Linked DNA regions of Macaca mulatta. The protein of the gene in region 1 purifies or fractionates together with the protein of each later gene. This does not show direct contact. Links are inferred from orthologs where the notes say so. Each region holds a gene or a part of one and is shown on either strand. Other genes may lie near its edges.

The links.
Region 2: the proteins of SLC39A4 (region 1) and VPS45 purify together in Homo sapiens (affinity purification with mass spectrometry; 3 studies listed by BioGRID and IntAct, counting the BioPlex papers as one, with this or other methods). This does not show direct contact. The link is inferred for Macaca mulatta from reciprocal best matches to the Homo sapiens genes SLC39A4 and VPS45.

What each region holds. Positions count from the first base shown.
Region 1 is NC_133413.1:154,819,791-154,830,005, forward strand, and holds SLC39A4 (zinc transporter ZIP4), read right to left. Parts: upstream 5,398-10,215; 5' UTR 5,237-5,397; coding exon 4,610-5,236; intron 4,210-4,609; coding exon 4,017-4,209; intron 3,902-4,016; coding exon 3,765-3,901; intron 3,688-3,764; coding exon 3,516-3,687; intron 3,223-3,515; coding exon 3,050-3,222; intron 2,880-3,049; coding exon 2,742-2,879; intron 2,666-2,741; coding exon 2,534-2,665; intron 2,357-2,533; coding exon 2,302-2,356; intron 2,180-2,301; coding exon 2,027-2,179; intron 1,860-2,026; coding exon 1,672-1,859; intron 1,580-1,671; coding exon 1,451-1,579; 3' UTR 1,327-1,450; downstream 1-1,326. Other genes in the region: endogenous retrovirus group K member 7 Env polyprotein-like, read right to left, coding at 9,663-10,215. UniProt on the Homo sapiens protein: Selective transporter that mediates the uptake of Zn(2+). Plays an essential role for dietary zinc uptake from small intestine. The Zn(2+) uniporter activity is regulated by zinc availability.
Region 2 is NC_133406.1:117,076,191-117,086,374, forward strand, and holds the start of VPS45 (vacuolar protein sorting-associated protein 45), read right to left. Parts: upstream 6,046-10,184; 5' UTR 5,926-6,045; coding exon 5,833-5,925; intron 5,165-5,832; exon of another isoform or gene 5,145-5,164; coding exon 5,010-5,144; intron 1,611-5,009; coding exon 1,550-1,610; intron 1-1,549. UniProt on the Homo sapiens protein: May play a role in vesicle-mediated protein trafficking from the Golgi stack through the trans-Golgi network.

The DNA of each region.
Region 1 (10,215 bases):
ACACCTGTGGGTGTTTCTTGTAAGGTGGAACGAGAGACTTGAGAAAAGAAATAAGACACAGAGACAAAGTATAGAGAAAGAAAAGCGGGACCCAGGGGACTGGCGCTCAGCTTACAGAGGACCCACGCGGGTCCCGGTCTCTGAGTTCCCTTAGTATTTATTGATAATTATCTTTACCATCTTAAAGACAGGGGAGTGGCAGGACAATAGGATCAAAGAAAAGAGGAAATGGGCAGTAAGACATATGAACAAACACCTCTGTGACATGAATAAGTTCAAAGGAAAATGCTGTGCCTTGAGATGCATATGCAAACATCTCCATAAACCTTTTAGCAGCATTGTTTCAGTCTATCACATGGGGAGAAACCTTAGACAATACCTAGCTTTCCTAGGCACAGGTCCCTGCGACCTTCGGCCGTGTACGTGTCTCTGGGTAGTTGAAATTAAGAGAATGGTGATAACTTTTAACCAGCAAGCTACCTTCAGGCATTTGTTTAACAAAGACACATCCTGCACAGCCCAAAATCCATTAAACCTTGAGTCACCACAGCACATGTCTCTTGCAAGGACAAGGTTGGGGGTAGGGTCACAGATTAACAGCATCACAAATACAGAACAAAATGGAGTCTCTTATGTCTACGTCTTTCTATATAGACACAGTAACAGGCTGATCTCTTTCTTTTCCCCACAAAGACAGAGGCAGAGATTGGAGTCATACTGCCCACAAACCAAGGAACACCTGGGGCCACCAGTAGCCAGGAAAGGCTTGGGGAACAGACTGCTTCCTGGAGACTTCAGAGGGAGCATTAGTCTCCTGATGCTTTGATTCCTAACTTTTAGCCTCCAGAACTGTGAAAATAAGTTTCTGGTTTGAAGGCACTCAGTTTGTGGTAGGCTGTGTTATGGGAGCCCTAGGAGGCCACTACATAGGGACTCAGGATTAACGCCTCAGAGTCAGAAGAGGCTGGGGTCCCAGGAACCATGGGCTGCCACACTCTGGTCTGATTATCTCCAGGCTTGCTTTCCATGACAGAAAAATATGCCTTCAGCTGTGTACGCAGTTATGGGTAAGCAAGTTTGATTACTGTTTGGGGACAGGGTCCCACCTGCTGCCCACACACCCCGGCGAATTTCCCTGACCCCACTCCTCAGGCAGGCAGGGTCTCCACATCAAAGAGGGGGTGCCTGAGGCTGGCTGCCTGGGGGGCCCTGAGTGCAGCTCTTCCTGCTTCTCTTCGAGGCACCCCGATGGGGAGAAGGCAGTGCCGCAATTGTCCTTTCTCAGCTGAGGACCTTTCCCACCCAACAAGGAGAGCACAGCCATGCTGCAAGGACAAGAGTGTCTTTATTGGAGTTAGGACTGGGGCCTCTATAGGGGCTTCTGGTTTCTGGGCTGTAGGTTTGTGGGGTGTGGGATCTTGGGTCAAAGGTGGGAGACTAGGGCAGGGTATCAGAGGGTGATATCATCCTCGTACAAGGACAGCAGCAGCAGGACGGTCCAGCCGCCCAGCAGGCCCACGTTGTGCAGCAGAAAGAGGAGCCAGGGCCGTGGGTCCCGTACTTTCAAGATGGCCGGGAGCTGAGGAGCAAGTGGGTACCAGGTCAGCGCCCCTGCTCAGCTCCGCTGCTCAGTTCCCGGCCCAGAGCAGCCCCTCCCCTCACCATCCTGACCATGTCGCAGAGTGCCACGTAGAGGAACAGGCCGGTGGCCACTGCCAGGATCCAGACCTCGCTCTCCTCGCCGACTCCAACCGCGAGTGCCACGTAGAGACCCGCGAAGGCCGTGAGCGCAGAGGCCAGGTTCAGCACCAGCGCTTGGCGCACGGAAAGGCCCGCCTGCAGCAAGGCCGCGAAGTCCCCTGCGGGCGGGTCCACATCAACAGCTCCGCCCTCCTATTTACATGCCCCGCCCACCTCCTTTCGGTCGCGCGCTCTTACCACCAGGCCCCGCCCACCTGTTCCCGGTCTCCCCGCCCAGCCCCGTGCGGCCCCGGCCGTCTCCTTCCAGGCCCCGCCCGCCGCTCACCCAGCTCGTGCGGCAACTCGTGGCAGAACACCGCCAGCGAGGTGGCCAGCCCGGTCTTCCAGGAGGACGCGAAGGCGGCGCCCACGGCCAGCCCATCGGCGAAGTTGTGCACGGCGTCGCCCAGCGTGATCACATAAGGCAGTAACCTCAACTCTGCGGATGCAGCGGCCGTGGGTTCGCGTGGCCTGTCCCCGACCGCCAAGCCCCGGGCCCCGCTCGCGCTCCACACAAACCTCAGATCCCCCAGCCCTTCCGGGGTCGCCCCCTGGGCTCACCTGGGCTCAGTCTCCTGGGCTCCGGCTTCAGCAGCTCCGGGCTCTCCTCCGCCACCTGGGAGGAGCCTTGAGTAAGTCCCGCCCAGAGATAGAGGAGGAACGCGGCGGGGCGGGGCCCCAGATCACCGCGGGAGGCGGGGCCGCAGGCCTGGGGTGGGGCTGGGAGTGTGGGCTTGGGAAGGGGTCTGTAGGAGGGGCTCCGCGTGGGGTGGGGCATCGGGCGCCCACTCACCAGGTCCGCGCGGGAGCCCTCGTGGGGCGGCTTGGGCTGCCGGAGCTCGCTGGGTGCCAGCTGCAGGGACACGCCGTGGCTGTGGCCGCCGTGGCTGTGGCTGCTGTGGCCGCAGGGCCCGTCCTCCAGATCCTGTGAGGGTAGCTGCTCAGCGTCCGCCAGGCCCCCAGCACACCCACCCGCCGGGTACCTTCCCAAGAAGCCTGACCTCCGGGTCCCTGGGCAGCAGGAGGTTGAAGAGGTTCTCAAACAGGAAGAAGGCGTAGAGCCCGGCCAACATAGCCAGGAGGCGCCAGGTGGGCTGTGAGCTGAGGCCCTCTTCGCTGTGTGTGTGCAGCCCCAGCACCTGGGGAGTAGGGGCGCTGGGCTGGGGGGGTCACAGGGCGCCTCCCTCCAAGACCCAGGGAGAGGGGTCAGGGGTCAGGGGGTGGTGTGGGTAAGGGCCCTGGGAGGGCATGGCCTGGGAGTCCATGGTGGGGAAGGGAAGGCCAGGATCGGGGGGTTGTGGGGGCAGACCTTGGGCATCAGGTGCAGGACAGCATCCCCAGTGAGTGCACCCACCGCCAGGCTCAGGCAGGTCTGCAGGATGTAGTGGGTGACCCCCCTGCAGCCAGTGCAGGTCAGCAGTACGAGGCCAAAAACCGCGCAGAGGCAGATGAGCAGTGTGGCCAGGGAGCCGTACAGATACCCTGGGGGCGGGTGAGGTGGCTGTGAGAGCTTTTCTTCCAGACTCAGCCCCTGCTTCCCGGGCGTCACTCACCAGAGCTGCAGGCGGTCAGTGTGGGCCAGTCCCTCACTCAGGCTGACGCTCCTGCCTCAAAGCCCCACTCCCCTCCTGGCGATGCCACATTCCTCTGTGTCTGCTGTTTCAACTTCCAGGCCCTGCTCCCTCTCTCCATCCCTCACCCTCGGCAGCCACTCCTTCCTCCCTATGTGGGCCCCACCTCTGCACTGCCAGCACAGTGCCGGGGTGGGCACTCACTCTCTGCCTGGCTGAGCTGGTCCTGGACGGGGAGCCTGGGCTGGGAGGTGCAGGCTCCACTCAGCTGCTGTTGCAGCAGGGCAGGGCTCAGTTGGACCCAGGCCTCCGGGGTCACCCCAGCCTGCTCTGACAGTCCATACACAGCCATCACGTCCCTGGCACTCAGGCATACCTGGGGAGTGGCAGGACAGGCTCAGGGGCCTGAGCAGACCCCAGTGGGACCCCATCTTACCCCAGGGCACAGCTCACCGTGTCCCACACACTGGAGCTATCGTTGGAGGTGACGAGGGGCACAGGGTCCTGGCCGCTGGCTCCCCTGTGCTGATGACTGTGGTCACTGTGGGCCTCCCTGCCTACCCCCAGGCGCTGCATCAAGGCCGACAGCTCTAGCAGGGAGAAGAGTCAGCACGGCGAGTCTGTGTGGGCTCCAGCCCTGCCCCCTAGGGACATGGAGGCTGGGGACTCGGGGGTGCCCCCTCCACAGCCCAGCCCAGGCCTCACCAGCCAGCGTCATAGGAGCCTCGCTACTGTGCTGCTGGAACACAAAGTCCACGAAGTACTGAGGGCTCGGCAAGGCATGGAAGCAAGACCCACTCCTGACGTGGTCCAGCAGGGCAGCCAGGACGCCACCGGCACTACCTGGAGCCCCCGCCCCCACCGCCTCCTCCAGCAGCTGAGGAATGTCTACGCAGGCCTGGGGAAGAGGGGGCCTCTGCCTCAGCCTTTGGTGTGACCTTGCATCCAGTTCTGCCATCCACCCAGCTGCCCCTGGATGCATCTCCCACGCCAACTACAGGATCTGCCCCCACCAGCCCCGCCCTTCCCTGGGGCCACAGCCCTCCCTGCCGGGCCCAGCTGCTTCAGGCTCCCACTCAGCCCTCTGGGTTCCTCCCTCGTGAGGCCCCTCCTGGGGCTCCTGCAGGCCCCCAGCTGCCCGGTAGTGAGCTCTACATTGTGAATCCCCAGCAGGAGGCCGACTCCCGGGCGTCTCCCCAGGCCCCCGGGCTCCCTGAAGGCTCTGCAGCCAGGCCTGGCCCCCTAGGCCATGGGGCCCTCCTCACCCACTCCCCTGGTCTGCCTGGACTGTCCCTCACCGTCTTGGGGGTCTGGCCGGCAGCCTGGGCCTGCATCCTCTGCAGCAGCCAGCTTAGGCCCGGGGTCAGGGCCTTGGGGCTTTCGAGCAGGGCCAGGAGATGGTCTGCACGAGAGGCCCAGCGGCCAGCGCGAGCGTCCTCACACGTGCCCTCGGGGTTGCTGAGGTAGAGGACGGCGGCGGCACTGAGGCGGGCAATGTACCTGGCCTCCAGGACCGGGCCTGGGGGCAGCCCTGGCCCCTCAGGCTCGCCCAGGCCCAGGGCGTCCTCCACAGACAGGCACTGTGGGCAGAGACAGGTGAGGAGGGGCTCTGGGCCCACCAGGGAGGGGAGAGGCAGGCCTGGCCAAGGGGCTTCCCCACAGGCCTGTTTCCTCTCCCTCTCAGGTCCACCATCCTCTCTCAACCCGTTGTGCCCTTCTGTCTCCCCAGGACCCTGTTCTGCTTCCCCAACTACAGGGGTGCACGGAGAGGGGTCCCCAACAGTGGTCCCATCCCCAGGGGACTCCCCTGGAGCCACTGCCAATTTGATGGCTGGGGGCCGGCAGGGGGAGGTGGCCCTGGGGTCCTGGGGAGAAGAGGGACTGTGTGTCCCTGGAGAGGTGTGCCTGTCTGCCCTCATGAGCATGAGGGTGGGCTCTGGCCTGCGGGGAGGGCCAGGGTGCCCAGGTACTGCCGCCAGCCTCCTCCGCCTCCTGGAGTTTGCCCAGGGCCCTTTGCTGCCAGTTGGCAGGGCGGAGCGGGCGGGAAGAGGCCAGGGCTGGGGGACCTGTCGGGTGGGGCTGTTACCTTTCCACACGGCCCGTTGGCGCAGTGCACACGGTCCGCCAGCGTATTTAACAGGCCGCCCAGTGCCTCTTGATCCACAGCTCCCTGGCCGGAGGTGAGCAGGCTCAGCAGACCAGCAGGCGGGGGCGCCGTCGCCGTTGCCGTTGCCGTCGCCGTCGCCGTCACCGTCACCGTCACCACCAGCACAGCCAGCAGCAGCCCAAGCTCCAGCGAGACCAGGGACGCCATACTCAGCTCCCAGCGTGCTCAGTGGGTGTTGCTGTGGCCAAGGCCCAGTGCTTCTGGGCTGGCTGAGGGCGGCTTTGCTGGGGTTGTCCAGGGCCAGACTGGGGCTGGGCTAGGACCCGCCCGGCCCGGCCTGCATGAGGACCTCTCCCAGGTATTCCTGCAGAGCTCTGTGATTGGCTGCTGGAGATGCCTGGGTTAACCATTCCAGCGGCAGATCCTCCCCAGTAGCCTGAAGCCACTGCTGGTGGGGGGCGAGGGCTGGGCCCCTTCCCCTGGACAGGCAGCCTGGGTGGGCTTTTTTTTAGATAGAGTTTTGCTCTTGCTGCCCAGGCTGCAGTGCAATGGCGTAATCTTGGCTCACTGCAAACTCTGCCTCCCAGGTTCAAGTGATTCTCCTGCCTCAGCCTCCCGAGTAGCTGGGATTACAGGCGGCACCACCACACCCAGTTAATTTTGTATTTTTAGTAGAGGCAGGGTTTCTCCATGTTGGTCAGGCTGGTCTTGAACTCCCAACCTCGGGTGATCCGCCTGCCTTGGCCTCCCCAAGTGCTGGAATTACAGGTGTGAGCCACCGCGCCCGGCTAGCCTGGGTGGGCTTCTGTCCTCTTCCTGCTGCCCCTCAAGCTGTGGGGCAGAGCCGGAGTGTCCCCTTCTGGCTCTCCATCTGGAGGCTGCCTCCAAGCTGGGGGACGCAGGGCAGAGGTGCACAGATGCCCCCAGAGCCTGAGAGCTCCCAGGTCCATGCCTCTGCCCCTCCCAACAGAGGCTGCCCAGACACCCTTGGTGGCCCCAGTTGGGGTGGGGACATGAACCTCTTCCTGGGTCCTGGCCTATGGTCCCTGTTGGGGACTGCGATGGAATCAAAGGAACTGAAAAGGTGCCTGCTGCATCATGCTCTCTTAGGCCAGAGAAAGCCCCAGGAAGCTCCAACACAGACAACCAGGAAGACGGACCTGGGCCCTGGCAGCCACCTGGCCGGGCTTGGGGCAGGATAAGATTGGGGTAAGACCCCAGCTCTAGCCCCTGGGGCAGGGAGGCTGTGGCTCCCAGCCCTGCCCTCCCTGTGGGCTCCTTCTCTGGCCTTTGAGCCTAGAGGCCTTATCTCTACTGTGGTGGTGATGGCAGGAAGTCTGGGGGAAGGGGAAGGCAGATCTCAGGGCAGCTTTGCCTTCTGAAGGGGGAGTCCAGATGCAGCCTCCTGCCCGGTCCAGCCAGCCTGACCCTGAGTGTTGTGGGTGGGGCTGGGGTGGGGAGCTGGGTGCCTGAGGCCCAAGGACTCTGTCCTGCCATGTGCAGGGCGGGACGGGGCAGTGCGGGCATTGGGCCCAGTGTCCTGGGGTCAGGGTGCTTCCCCGGCAGCCTCACCCTGCCAAGCGGCAGATCTCATGGTGCCCCTCTGGCTGGGCCCACCCACAGTGGTATCCTTCTGGGGCCGCAGATGATTTCTGGGCCCCAAGACCATGACGGGGGCAGCTCTACACGCAGCTTGGAGATGTTGCGGTCCCAAACTGGCCCTTTCCCTCCCACACCACCCCAGGACCAATGGGCTGGCTGGAGGCCACCCATTCGAAACCAGGCTCAAGGGCCTATTTTAGCTTCAGGGCAAAGGTCTTGGGCTGGGCCTGACTCTGTGGCCTTCCTGAGCTGCCTCCCCAGTAGGCCTCAGTGCTGGGCTGCAGGCCTCCTCCATTCCCTCCATTCATGTGACCCCATCCCTCCCCACAGAAACTCTCCTCCACAGCCCAGGAGCAGCCGCTGAGGGTTTCAGCTGCCCGTGCCCCAGCCTGAGGCCGGCTTCCCCAGAGCAGAGGGGTTGCACTCTCCTGCCCCTCAGGCCCACTCTGTCATGCAACAAGCTCATTGCAATTGGCCCATCTTAAAAACAACACTGGTCGGGCACCTTGGCCCACGCCTGTAAACCCAGCACTTTGGGAGGCTGAGGCAGGTGGATCACTTGAAGTCAGGAGTTTAAGACCAGCCTGGGCAACATGATGAAACCCCAGCTCTACTAAAAATACAAAAACAAATTAGGGCACCCAGGCCGGGCGCAGTGTCTCACGCCTGTAATCCCAGCACTTTGGGAGGCCGAGGCAGGCAAATCACGAGGTCAGGAGATGGAGACCATCCCGGCTAACACGGTGAAACCCCATCTCTATTAAAAATACGAAAAAATGGCCGGGCGCGGTGGCTCAAGCCTGTAATCCCAGCACTTTGGGAGGCCGAGACGGGCGGATCACGAGGTCAGGAGATCGAGACCATCCTGGCTAACACAGTGAAACCCCGTCTCTACTAAAACTACAAAAAACTAGCCGGGCGAGGTGGCGGGTGCCTGTAGTCCCAGCTACTCAGGAGGCTGAGGCAGGAGAATGGCTTAAACCCGGGAGGCAGAGTTTGCAGTGAGCTGAGATCCGGCCACTGCACTCCAGCCTGGGCGACAGAGCGAGACTCCGTCTCAAAAAAAAAAAAAAAAAAAATACGAAAAAATTAGCCAAGTGTGGTGGTGGGTGCCTGTAGTCCCAGCTCCTCGGGAGGCTGAGGCAGGAGAGTAGCTTGAACCTTGGAGGTGGAGCTTGCAGTTGAAGGGGTGGTCTGCCCCTCCACACCTGTGGGTGTTTCTCGTTAGGTGGAACGAGAGACTTGAGAAAAGAAAGAAGACACAGAGACAAAGTATAGAGAAAGAAAAGCGGGGGCCCAGGGGACAGGCGCTCAGCTTACAGAGGACCCACGCCGGCACTGGCCTCTGAGTTCCCTTAGTATTTATTGATAATTATCTTTACCATCTTAAGGATAAGGGAGTGGCAGGACAATAGGAGGGCAGTAAGACATATGAACAAAAACCTCTGTGACATGAATAAGTTTAAAGGAAAATGCTGTGCCTTGAGATGCATATGCAAACATCTCCATAAACCTTTTAGCATTACTTCAGCCTATCACATGGGGAGAAACCTTGGACAACACCTAACTTTCCTAGGCAGAGGTCCCTGCGACCTTTGGCCGTGTACGTGTCCCTGGGTAGTTGAAATTAAGAGAATGGTGATGACTTTTAACCAGCAAGCTGCCTTCAGGCACTTGTTTAACAAAGACACATCCTGCACAGCCCCAAATCAGTTAAACCTTGAGTCACCACAGCACATGTCTCTTGCAAGGACAAGGTTGGGGGTAGGGTCACAGATTAACAGCATCTCAAATACAGGACAAAATGGAGCCTCTTATGGCTATTTCTTTCTATATAGACATAGTAACAGGCTGATGTCTTTCTTTTCCCCACATTTCCCCCTTTTCTTTTCAACAAAACCACCATTGTCATCATGACACCGAGATTACATACTTCACAAAGTAATAGAATATCACAAAGCAAGTGGAGGCAGGATGAGATCACAGAATGGTGTTAAAATTAAAATTTTTGGGCATGCATAGTCATGGATAACATCTTATCAGAAAACAGGGTTTGAGAGCAGACAACCTGTCTGACCAAAATTTATTAGGTGGGAATTTCCTCGTCCTAATAAGCCTGGGAGCGCTACAGGAGGCCGGGGCTTATTTCATCCCTTCGGCTTCAACCATAAAAGGCGGCACGCCTCCAAGGGGGTCGTTTATAGGCCTACCCTCAGAGCGCATTCTCTTTCTCAGGGCTGTTCCTTGCTGAGAAAAAGAATTCAGCGATATTTCTCCTATTTGCATAATGAAAAGAGAAGAAATATGGCTCTGTTCCGTCCGGCTCACCGGCGGCCAGTTCAAGGTTGCCTCCCTTGTTCCCTGAACATTGCTGTTATCTTATTCTTTCTTCAAGAAGCCCAGATTTCATATTGTTCAAACACACATGCTCCACAAACAATTTGTGCAGTTAAGGCAATCATCACAGGGTCCTGAGGTGACATATATCCTCCTCAGTTTACAAAGAAGATGATAGAATTAGGAGATTAAAGTAAAGACAGACATAAGAAATTACAAAAGTATTAACTTGGGAGAACTAATAAATGTCCATGAAATCTTCACATTTTACCTTTTTCTGCCGTGGCTTCAGCCAGTCCCTGCGTTCAAGGTCCCTGACTTCCCGCAACGTTCTCCCTCCCTTTTCCTCTATATAAATGTGCCATGGTGATGAAGGCTTGTTCGTTCTCTCGATTTTGACGCAGGATTTTTCGACTGGTCCGGCACACTAAAAAGCCGATTAAACAGAGACACATAATTCCAAAATTTACTGCAGTAGAGTTCCCAATAGACTTAATCCAAGTCGTGGGGTTTAATTCATAAAGATTTTTTGCCACTTGATCTAACGCCTCAGCTCCAGGCACAATATTCAAGTGACTTTGAGAGGCTTCAAAAATTTGTTCTTTTAATTTAGAAATGTCTAAAGTGAGATTATCTTCTCTTCCCTGTAGATGGCGTCTAACCATGTCCCAGTGATGTTTAGACTCATTATAAACTTGGGGTGTAATACAAAAATCTGACGTATTCCAGTCACACTGTAACTGGAAACGATGTTCCAAGCTCATGAGTCTATCTCCCATCCAAATGACAGTTTGTCTAAGATCATTAATTTGATTTGCCAATTTTTGATCGATACCGGATTGTGAATTCCACAACCTT
Region 2 (10,184 bases), on another chromosome or scaffold:
AAATGTTCTGTATCCTGACTGTATCAGTGTTAACATCTTGGTTGTGATATTGTACTATCGTCATGTAAGATACTACATGGGGGAAGCTGGGTAAAGGGTATCTGCGATCATTTGTGTTTTTTTTTTTTTTTTTTTTTTTACAGCTGCACACAAATCTACAATTACTTCAGAATAGAAAGTTTAATTTTAAAAAGAAAACCTGTGACTCTTAGCCAAAAACAAACAAAAATTAAGATGCCACAGATTAATAAAATTGCCTATTTTTACCTCTTGGGGCGTTGTGCACTGAAAACCCACTGGACGAGCTTTATATAACTTTTCAGTTCTACACAAAAGTGAATGAAATAAAATATGAGAGAGCTCTTATATATAGTCTTTTCACAAATGTTAATTTTTTGTATCATTATTCCATTTAAGTAGTATACGCTGAAGAAAGTACATGTCTTAGACTGTAGTCTAAACCCTAAAACTCTAATACCTTTAAGTAAGCTTTAAAACTTCTCAAATGCCCTACTTACTGTTAAATCTAGTCCTTGGTTTTGGAAATATTACCAAACAGACTACACTAATACTATTAACATAAAGATCAATAATGACATCTAGAGGAGAATGGATGTAACTTCCACAGCCAAATGTATTGGATCAAAAAAATCCATGTAAATTGTATAGTAAATACAAACCTAGTTTATTTCCAGACCTCCCCTACCTAACCCCCAACCCAAGAAAGTTGTGCACATAAGAGATCACTACCTGATGATTTATACTTTCAATGCATTAAATATAGTAACAAAGAGAAGTGAAAGGCTTTTATCTGGTATGTAAAGTAAATCTCTGCTTTTCCAACAAACTCAAGTATTACCTTCCCATTTCAAAAAATAAATCAGCTTCCATGCCTCAATTCCTAAGTGTAAAATGGGGATAAGTATATACTTTTTTTTTTTTGGCAGGGGTGAGATGTAAAATTTGTCTACTTACAACTTGTGACTTACAAAGCATCTTGAAAGGCAAAGTAAAATGTAAAATTTTTAACTTAAGTAATCAAAGATGAATGGAAATCACATTTAGCCCTCTGAAACAGAATATTGGTCAAAAGTTTTGTTTTTTTTTTTTTTTTGAGACAGAGTTTCGCTCTTGTTGCCCAGGCTGGAGTGCAATGGCACAATCTTGGCTCACTGCAATCTCCGCCTCTCCAGTTCAAGCGATTCTTCTGCTTCAGCCTCCCAAGTAGCTGGGATTATAGGCATGCGCCACCATGCCCAGCTAATTTTGTGTTTTTAGTAGAGATGGGGTTTCACCATGTTGGTCAGGCTGGTCTCAAACTCCTGACCTCAGTGATCCGCCCACCTTGGCCTCCCAAAGTGCTGGGATTACAGGCTTGAGCCACCATGCCCGGCAGGTCAACAGACTTTTAATACTTTGGAAGGACGTTAAATAAACGAGATCTTTATAGTGACAGATCCAATGAACTTATTAGTGACATAAAGGGCTCAATGAAACACACTAACTGGGATGTTGTTATGAGTTTGAAAAAGTGAACTAACATACTTACAAATGAAATATATAGTGTATTTGGGTCTTCGGAGCTCCTGAATCATATAATCCACATTCTCCTAGAAAATGAAGAACAAGCGAACAAAATATGAGGAGAGTTGCTTAAGGAAAAAAGTAATAAGCATTACCCATTGATTTGTTTATTTACTGCATCTACTGCATATTGAAGTCTAGGTTAAGTGTTGCATATGTTGGTGGATAAGGGCTGCAGACAGATAAATTTTGTGCACATGTTGGTGGGTAAGGGCTGGAGACAAAAGAGATGAATACAATGATCAGGAATCATATATTATTTAATAGTATGTGTATAATATTAAATATTAACCAACTGCATTTTGGCCAAATTAAGATAAAGAATATAAGGGACACAGATGTTGAAATACAACATAAAATTGATTATAATTCTGCAAACTCACATCGAGCTGTTTGTCTATAAATTGTATTCACTTGCTCAAAATTCTTTTTTTTTTTTTTTTTTATTTGAGATGAGGTCTCACTCTGTCGCCCAGGCTGGAGGGCAATGGCACAGTCTCGGTTCACTGCAACCTCCATCTTCCAGGTTCAAGCAATTCTCCTGTCTCAGCCTCCCAAGTAGCTGGGATTACAGGTTTGTGCCACCACACCCAGCTAATTTTTTGTAATTTTAGTAGACACAGGGTTTCACCATGTTGGCCAGGCTGGTCTTGAACTCCTGACCTCAACTGATCTACTGGCTTGGCCTCCCAAGTGCTAGGATTACAGGTGTGAGCCACTGCGCCTGGCCTGATCAAAATTCTTACCTAGAACATCAAATGTGTCTATTCCTTTAAAAATTAACATTCAAGAGAAAATATAGTTAATTATATTCACTTTGGCTTTTAATTTATTGGGATGTAAGACTCTGCACAACTACAATGTTTGTGAAGTATTTGCAAGTAGTAGGCTAAGATCTTTCTATAATTACATTAATTTAAAATAAAGTATAAAAGTTTAAAACAAAAAAGTTGATTTTTATATGGTCAAAATATAAGAATTCCGATTACATAAGATTATAATGCAGGTTTTATTGATTTTTGATACTATAATACCTGGTTAAATTTCAATATAAATTGTTCCCTAAACATATTTAGTAATTTGTTTTAAAAATCACCTTTCTTTACAGAATTAAAAGAAAAATGTAAGCAATGTATACTGCTTATTAATGGGGAAAAGGTTTTAAAAATTGTCATTTAGATTTAAAAATGCATTCAAATTAACGTTATAATATAATCTTAAGAAAAAAATTTAAAATATCTTTTAAACCTCAATTACTTCCTCGTAATATGCTAGGCAAAAATAACAAACTGAATTAAAAGATTCCTAAAAGTTCAGACAATGTGGAAAAAGACAAAAGAGAATATACAAAATAATAAAAAGAAAAAGGAAAGATTATTATTATTATTATTATTTTTTGAGACGGAGTCTTGCTCTGCCGCCAGGCTGGACTACAGTGGCGTGATCTCAGCTCACTGAAACCTCCAACTCCCTGGTTCAAGCAATTCTCCTGCCTCAGCCTCCCTAGTAGCTGGGACTACAGGTGCCTGCCACCACACCTGGCTAATTGTTTTTGTGTGTGTGTGTATTTTCAGTAGAGACGGGGTTTCACCATGTTGGCCAGAATGGTCTCGATCTCCTGACCACGTGATCTGCCCGCCTGGGCCTCCCAAAGTGCTAGGATTACAGGTGTGAGCCACCGTGCCCGGCCAAAAGGAAAGATTCTTAAAAGAGTTTGAGAGACAGTACATAGCAGTCAAAGAGTTTCTCTAATAAAAAAATTAGGAAATAATGAACTAGATCATCTCTAAGGTACCTCTTGAAGCAAAATATCATGACTAAGAGCTATAAATATGAAACAATTGGAAACTATTATAACACAGCATGTGTTCATTAATTCAGCAACTATTTATTGAGTGTCCACTGTGTGACAGGCATTGGGAATATAGGGTGAGAAAAAACAGATATCATATCTGTTTTCATGGATTACTGCTGGTAATCACCCAAACCATACAAAAGTTCAAACCATGACACGCAATAGGGCGATAAAGATGGTTTTGTAAATGCACATAAGGGGCAGGTTTGACCTGGTCAGCAAAACCAGGGAAGGGTTACTTGAGGAAGTGAAGTTCCAGGCAGAAGAAGAAGCCTATGCAAAGGTCCTGTGGCATGACAGAACAAGGGGAATATAGTGGATTGAAAGATTAAGGTGATTAAGGTGCAGAGTGCAAAAGGGGAATGGTTCGAAATGAGGCTGGAGAAATGGTAGAAACCAGACCATGCTGCACCTTGAAGGCTACAATTAAGGACTTTTGCCCTTATCAGAAAAGCAATGAGAAGTCATTTAAGGATTTCAAGCAGGAGTGCCATGATCAGATTTGCATTCTGGAAAGTACATATGTACAAGCATGATAAAGTGCATTAGAGTTGAAGAATATGAATATGAATCAACAAAGTAGAACAGCCAGGCGCGGTGGCTCACGCCTGTAATCCCAGCACTTTGGGAGGCCGAGGAGGGCGGATCATGAAGTCAGGAGATTGAGACTATCCTGGCTAACACAGTGAAACCCCATCTCTACTAAAAATACAAAAAAATTAGCCAGGCGTGGTGGCAGGCGCCCGTAGTCCCAGCTACTCGGGAGGCTGAGGCAGGAGAAGCGTGAACCCGGGAGGTGGAGCTTGCAGTGGGCCTGAGATTGCGCCACTGCACTCCAGCCTGGGCAACACAGGGATACTCCAAAAAAAAAAAAAAAAAAAAAAGAAAGTATTAAAATAGGAAAGGATTTTTAAAGGAGAGACTCAAGCTAGATTTAGAAGGTGATGGACAAAAAGTGACAAATGGCCAAATAACTTTTAATTAGTGGAAGAAAAAAAACCAGTGAACAGGAATGAGCATGTAAAATTGCTCATTCCAACAGTAGCCCAGCTGGCTACAGAGGAGCAGCAGACCTAGGACACAGGAAGGCTAGATACATATGGGCAAATGAAACCAACAAAGGAGGGCTTTAACTGCTGGGCTAAATATAGATTTAATCATGGAAATAACATCAAACCACCAGAAGTTTCTGAGCATAAATGTGAATAAAGTGGTAAAGATTCAAGACACTCATAGCTGTATACGAAATTAAGTGTTGATGGTGTTCAATGTGACAGATACGGAGGTTAATCCAGGAATAAAGTAATGTGGGTCTCTGTTAAGAGTAGTTCATTAGTGGCAATGGGAATAGCTGTGAACCTAAAAGACATCTTGAAGGAAGAATTGGCTGTAAGGGGTCAACTGAAATATGGAAACAAAACAAGAAAAATGAAGGTTATAATACTGATGAACCAGGATAATTATGATGCCACAAATTATGAAAATACAAATTTATTTTGCCTTCTTAATGCTTTCAGATTAGAGTGTGCTGCATCTGCCTGGGCAGATGGAAACTCAGTTTATGCAGTACCTTTGTAGGTCGAAGAAAACAAATTGCCTTCAGGTGTTTCATGATCTCTCGATTTTGAGAATCAATGCGTTCAAAGAGGTACACTTCTTTCTGTAGAATCTCCGATTGTGTGTATACCATACTCACTATGCCAGTCTGTAAAAACAAAGGATTAACTAAAAGTATGCTAGTCTAGAATAATAAAAACAAGTAGCATATCTAAGCCTCTTTTTTCATTAATACTTAGCTGGATAACTTAAATAGTAATATACGTAATAACATTTACTGAACATCCAAACAGGTAGGTAACATACAAGAACGAAAAATACGCTCTCTCCTTTCAGCTGAAGTGTCAAGGTTAAAAACAAAAAACAAAGAAAAAACATGCTCTTTTTGAACTGGAACAATCCATACATTTCCAAAAATATTTTTTTCTATCACCTTAAAGAATTTTGTTTTCTGGTCTGTGGCCAACAAATAACCTGTCAGTTCAGCTTGAGCTCCAACAGCTTTACTTTTAAAACGCAATGTTGAGTGGAAACAGTAGGCCCATCCCAAAGTCTTCCAAGTGCTCTAACATATTAATGATTTATTGGCAGAGACATTTATTAAAAGATTTCTGATTCCAATAAATTGTTTCGGGTAGAAGCAGTCTCTGGGCAGTGGCTGGAGCCATTTAGACTGAAAAACCCACCGGGCAAGCTTTATACAACTTTTCAATTCCACACAAACTGACCCTTATTTTCATATCTTTAATTAAATGCTAAATCCTACTGTGGAATGGGACCAGCTATTGTAAGGTTGAGAGGGTTCCTTGACAAATGCTGAGCAAAAGCAAACTCACCGTCTCTTTATCCATCAGAAGTACTTTCATACCAGGCCCGCTGTCCTCTATCATTTTGGAAATGTACTGCTTCACAGCAAAAACCACGTTCATGGCGGCGAATTGACAAGTATCCCACAGCCCTTCCCGCCCCCTTTTCTGTCTAAATTAACCCCCGGTCTGTTGGCGGGGTCTCAGCTGCTTCCTCCCAGCCGGGCTTCGGCTTCCGGGAGTCCGGGCAACCACGGTGCTGGGAGTTGTAGTTCCGCTGGAGTGTACGGGGCACCAAGCCTATCCCGGGGATGGAAAAATCCGGCGGAGATGCCCTGGGCTGTTGCCACGCGCGGGCGCTATTCTCCTCCCACCTGCGGCCTGCATATGCCTGAGGCCCGGACTCTCAGACCTCTATTGCCCTTTGGTCCTGGAGGCCCAGCCGCAGCCTGAAGCCCAAGAGAGTGGAGCCTCGCGAAATGAGGAACCTGGCACAAGGTTTGCTTGGAAGCAGGAACGACGGAGCGTGGCCGTGGTCCCTATTTGCCATTAACGCTTTCTTGCATGGCAGTGAGAGATGAGGGCAAGGGAGGTGGCATAATGCTCCCGGCCACTTGGGACTCGGAGAGACGGCATTTAATAAATCACACGCGGTATCTGCGAAACAGTGGTCGAGATTCGTCTTCCCGGCTTCACTGGGTCAGTAATAGGCGGGAACAGTGCCCCTGTGTTGAGGCTGCAGAGGCCCGAATTGGTTTTCCCAAGACAGAGGGGCATATGAAATTGAACATGAATGAATGAACAAAGGGAACGCGTTTTAGGGATGTTTTTGAGGAGAGGCCTGAGGTTCTCCAGGAGGGTCTGCAGCGCGGGTCGGCCGTGGGGGCTCTCAGCCAGCGTGACCACCGGACCTGCAAGCGTACCCCTGCCCCACCCCCGGCTCGGCGCTCTGAGCAATCGGACTCTGCCAGCTCCAACTCCGGCGGGGCGCGGGTCACCCGCGACGCTGAAACTGCAGGCAAGAGCGGAGTTGACTGGGTCCTTTGAAATGGGTAGGGGACATGTATCCGGTAGAACTAAAACAAACTAGCGTGGGGATTTGAAGCCAAAACCTTCAAGTTTTTATTGAATCTTAAAACCATCAACTTCCAAATGTCTACATTTGTGTTTACACCACACAAGTCTCCCCTCTATCATGGCATTTGTCGAAAAGGAGGGTAGATGTTTGTTTTTCGCACCTTTACTTTGGGGAATTGTAAAATCAGGAAGATAATAAGAAACAACTGTTAGAAATCAGTAACTAAAAATGCTTATGAATATTTTCACCAAAATAATGACCAGTGTTTGTGAGGTCAATAGATTCAGGATTACCAAATAAATTCTTTCATTATATTGTAAGAAGTACACAATTGAAATAGACCAGTAGCACTTTAACGTTAATCTTCTTAAGATTATGCAACATCATATACAATTTTCAAATCCCTTAAGGGAGATCAGAAACTACTGAAATATAAGAGATTTTTGTCACCTCTGAAATTGTGAAGAATATGTTTTTATTTTTTTCAGCTTTTCTACCAAGTAAATAAAGCTTCCATTTAGGCATTTTACTAATTTTTAGATGTGTTTTGAAAGAAAAGTCTTAAGTTATATATTAAAGTGAAAATGTGAATCTTTAAATGGATACAAGTAAGAAAAACTAATGTTATATGAATCTTCCATTCTTATCAATTTAAATGTTCATATCTTACAGAAAACGTGGAAACCATGCTAATGAAAATCCTGTAAATCCTGTAAATTACTGATATTTGAAAATTCACCTCCAATCTCCCATGTCACTTGGTTTTTATTTTTCCTACCTATAATTTAGACTGCAGTATAGAAGACTTTTTCCCCCATTTTCTGTGCTTTTTTAAGAAAGAAGGAGATAAAGACTTGTCTATGAAATTTGTGCCTTTTTATTTTTATTTTTTATTTTTTTTATTTTTTTGAAATTTGTGCCTTTTTAAACAATAGTCAATTTGTAAGCAATATATGGAAAGAATCTGCATCCTTTTGATGATTTATACTTGGACACATAACTTTTTGAGGGAGGAGGAAAATACCTACTTGACAGCTTACTAATTCACTCCATTTTCCATAAAATGTAATTGATGTCAGTGGCAGTGATATTTTATACATTGAGTGATAAGATATGGAACATAAACATTTTGAACAAAATAATTATTACATATTTAAAGGGTGCTGTGATGGTCCTGAAGTTAGACAGCATGCTTCCTTCCTGAAGAAAACCACACAAGCCATTTTAAATGTCTCCAAATTAAGAACTTCTTTTGTATCCCCACACCTCTAAAATTAGGACTGAAACCAATGATAAAATCCAAACTCTCGCTTTGTAACTCATCCAGTATAAACCCAGAGTTACTTGTTTTGTTGTAGGCAAGTGACAGCAAATCCAGAATATGAAGTGCCTGCTTATTTTTAATTTAGGGTATAAATAAACTATAATAACAAGAAATATTTTCAATAGTAAAGACATTAAAAAATAAATCATGACATCCTTCAAATATGAATGATTACATTAACTTAAAATCTTCAACCTGAAAAATTTGTTTTCACTGGGTCCAAGAAATCAGTGCTTTAAGGATAGAAAACAGGAAGTCAAAAAATGCAGTATTGGTCAGGCAGGTGGCTCACTCCTGTAATCCCAGCACTTTGAAAGCCAAGGCGAGGCCAATCGCTTGAGTCCAGAAGTTCAAGACCAGCCTAGGCAATATGATGAAACCCTGTCTGTACAAAAAAAATACAAAAAATTAGTTGGGCATGGTGGCCGGCGCCTGCAGTCCCAGCTACTTGGGACGATGAGATGGGAGGATCACCTGAACCCAGGAGGTTGAGGTTACAGTGTGCCACTGCACTGCAGCTTGGGTGACAGAGTGAGACCCTGTCTCCAAAAAAAAAAAAGAAAAGAAAAAGCATTATTTACATTTGCACATTTTATTTCGGCTTGTAAATATGTAAGTTAAATAATCAGGAATGATTTAAATAATTACATGTACTTCAGCTTTCTCCAAAGTGTGTACTATTTAGAGGTTTAACTACCCATTTTGTGTTTAATCTACACTTGATCTTAGCCAAAAGGCGAGAAGCAATTTTGTGTTTAATCAAAATCATGATTTTCCCCCATCAGAACTCAAGGTTTCAACACAAAACAAAGAATATGTAAATAAGCTTCAGTATAATTATAATAACAATATGGCCAACTCTTAGTTATTTTAGATTATTAATTCTCTATTTACCATAATCCTTGTTGCTTCATGTTAACACTTCTCTCATAAGCCATGGATAGGAAGGAAGTAAAGATGAAATTCAATGAAACTGAAGTTAATTAGATTTCCTACTTGATAACAATTGAAAAAAATATTTGCATAAAGAATGGCAGTATTGGCCAGCCACAGTGGTTCATGCCTGTAATCCTAGCACTTTGGGAGACTAAGGCAGGAGGATTGCTTGAGCCCAGGAGTTCGAGATCAACCTGGGAAACATAGCTAAACCTTGTCTCTACACAAAATTTAAAAATTAGCTAGGCATAGTGGGTGCATCTGTGGTCCTAGCTACTCGAGATGCGTGGTAGTAGGATTGCTTGAGCCCTGGAAGTCGAGGCTGCAGTGAGCCATGTTCATGCTACTGCACTCCAGCCTGGGCAACAGAGTGGGACCCTGAAAGAAAGAAAGAAAGAAAGAAAGAGAGAGAAAGAGAGAAAGAAAGAAAGAGAGAAAAGAAAGAAAGAAAGGATTGCTTGTATCATACAACCAGTATTTGTGCAGTGTTCTTAACCTCTCTAACCATTGCCTCATCAGATAAATGGTAATAACATAACCTACCTCGTGAATTTGTGACAATTAAATGAAATAATGTGCAAAAAAGTATTTTACACAGTGCATGGTGCATGGTAAATGCTCAATAAATATCAGCTTTGATTATTAGAAATAAAAAGATAAACATGTTTTAGTTTATTTTTCACTTACGGTTATATGTATTTCCCATTGACAAGAAAATGTAAACATAGATCAATTTCAGCAAATGTAATCTATGGTTTCTAAATATAATTTCCATTAAGACTTGATCTTGTATTACTATACAATAATAGAAATACTAATGGGAAGATTTGACCTACTCCATCATAATTTGTAAAACATGCAATTTTTATGAAGAAAAAACTTAAGAAAAATATGCTTCAAATGATTTCAGAGGCTTAGTGTCTATGCAGCCTCAAATCAAACAGAATTTGTTAAATTTTCATCACAGTTCACTAACTGTGATGTGTTGAGCTTTACGGTAGCAAAAACATGTAATAGCTTTAAATCATTAAGTAAAAATTAGCT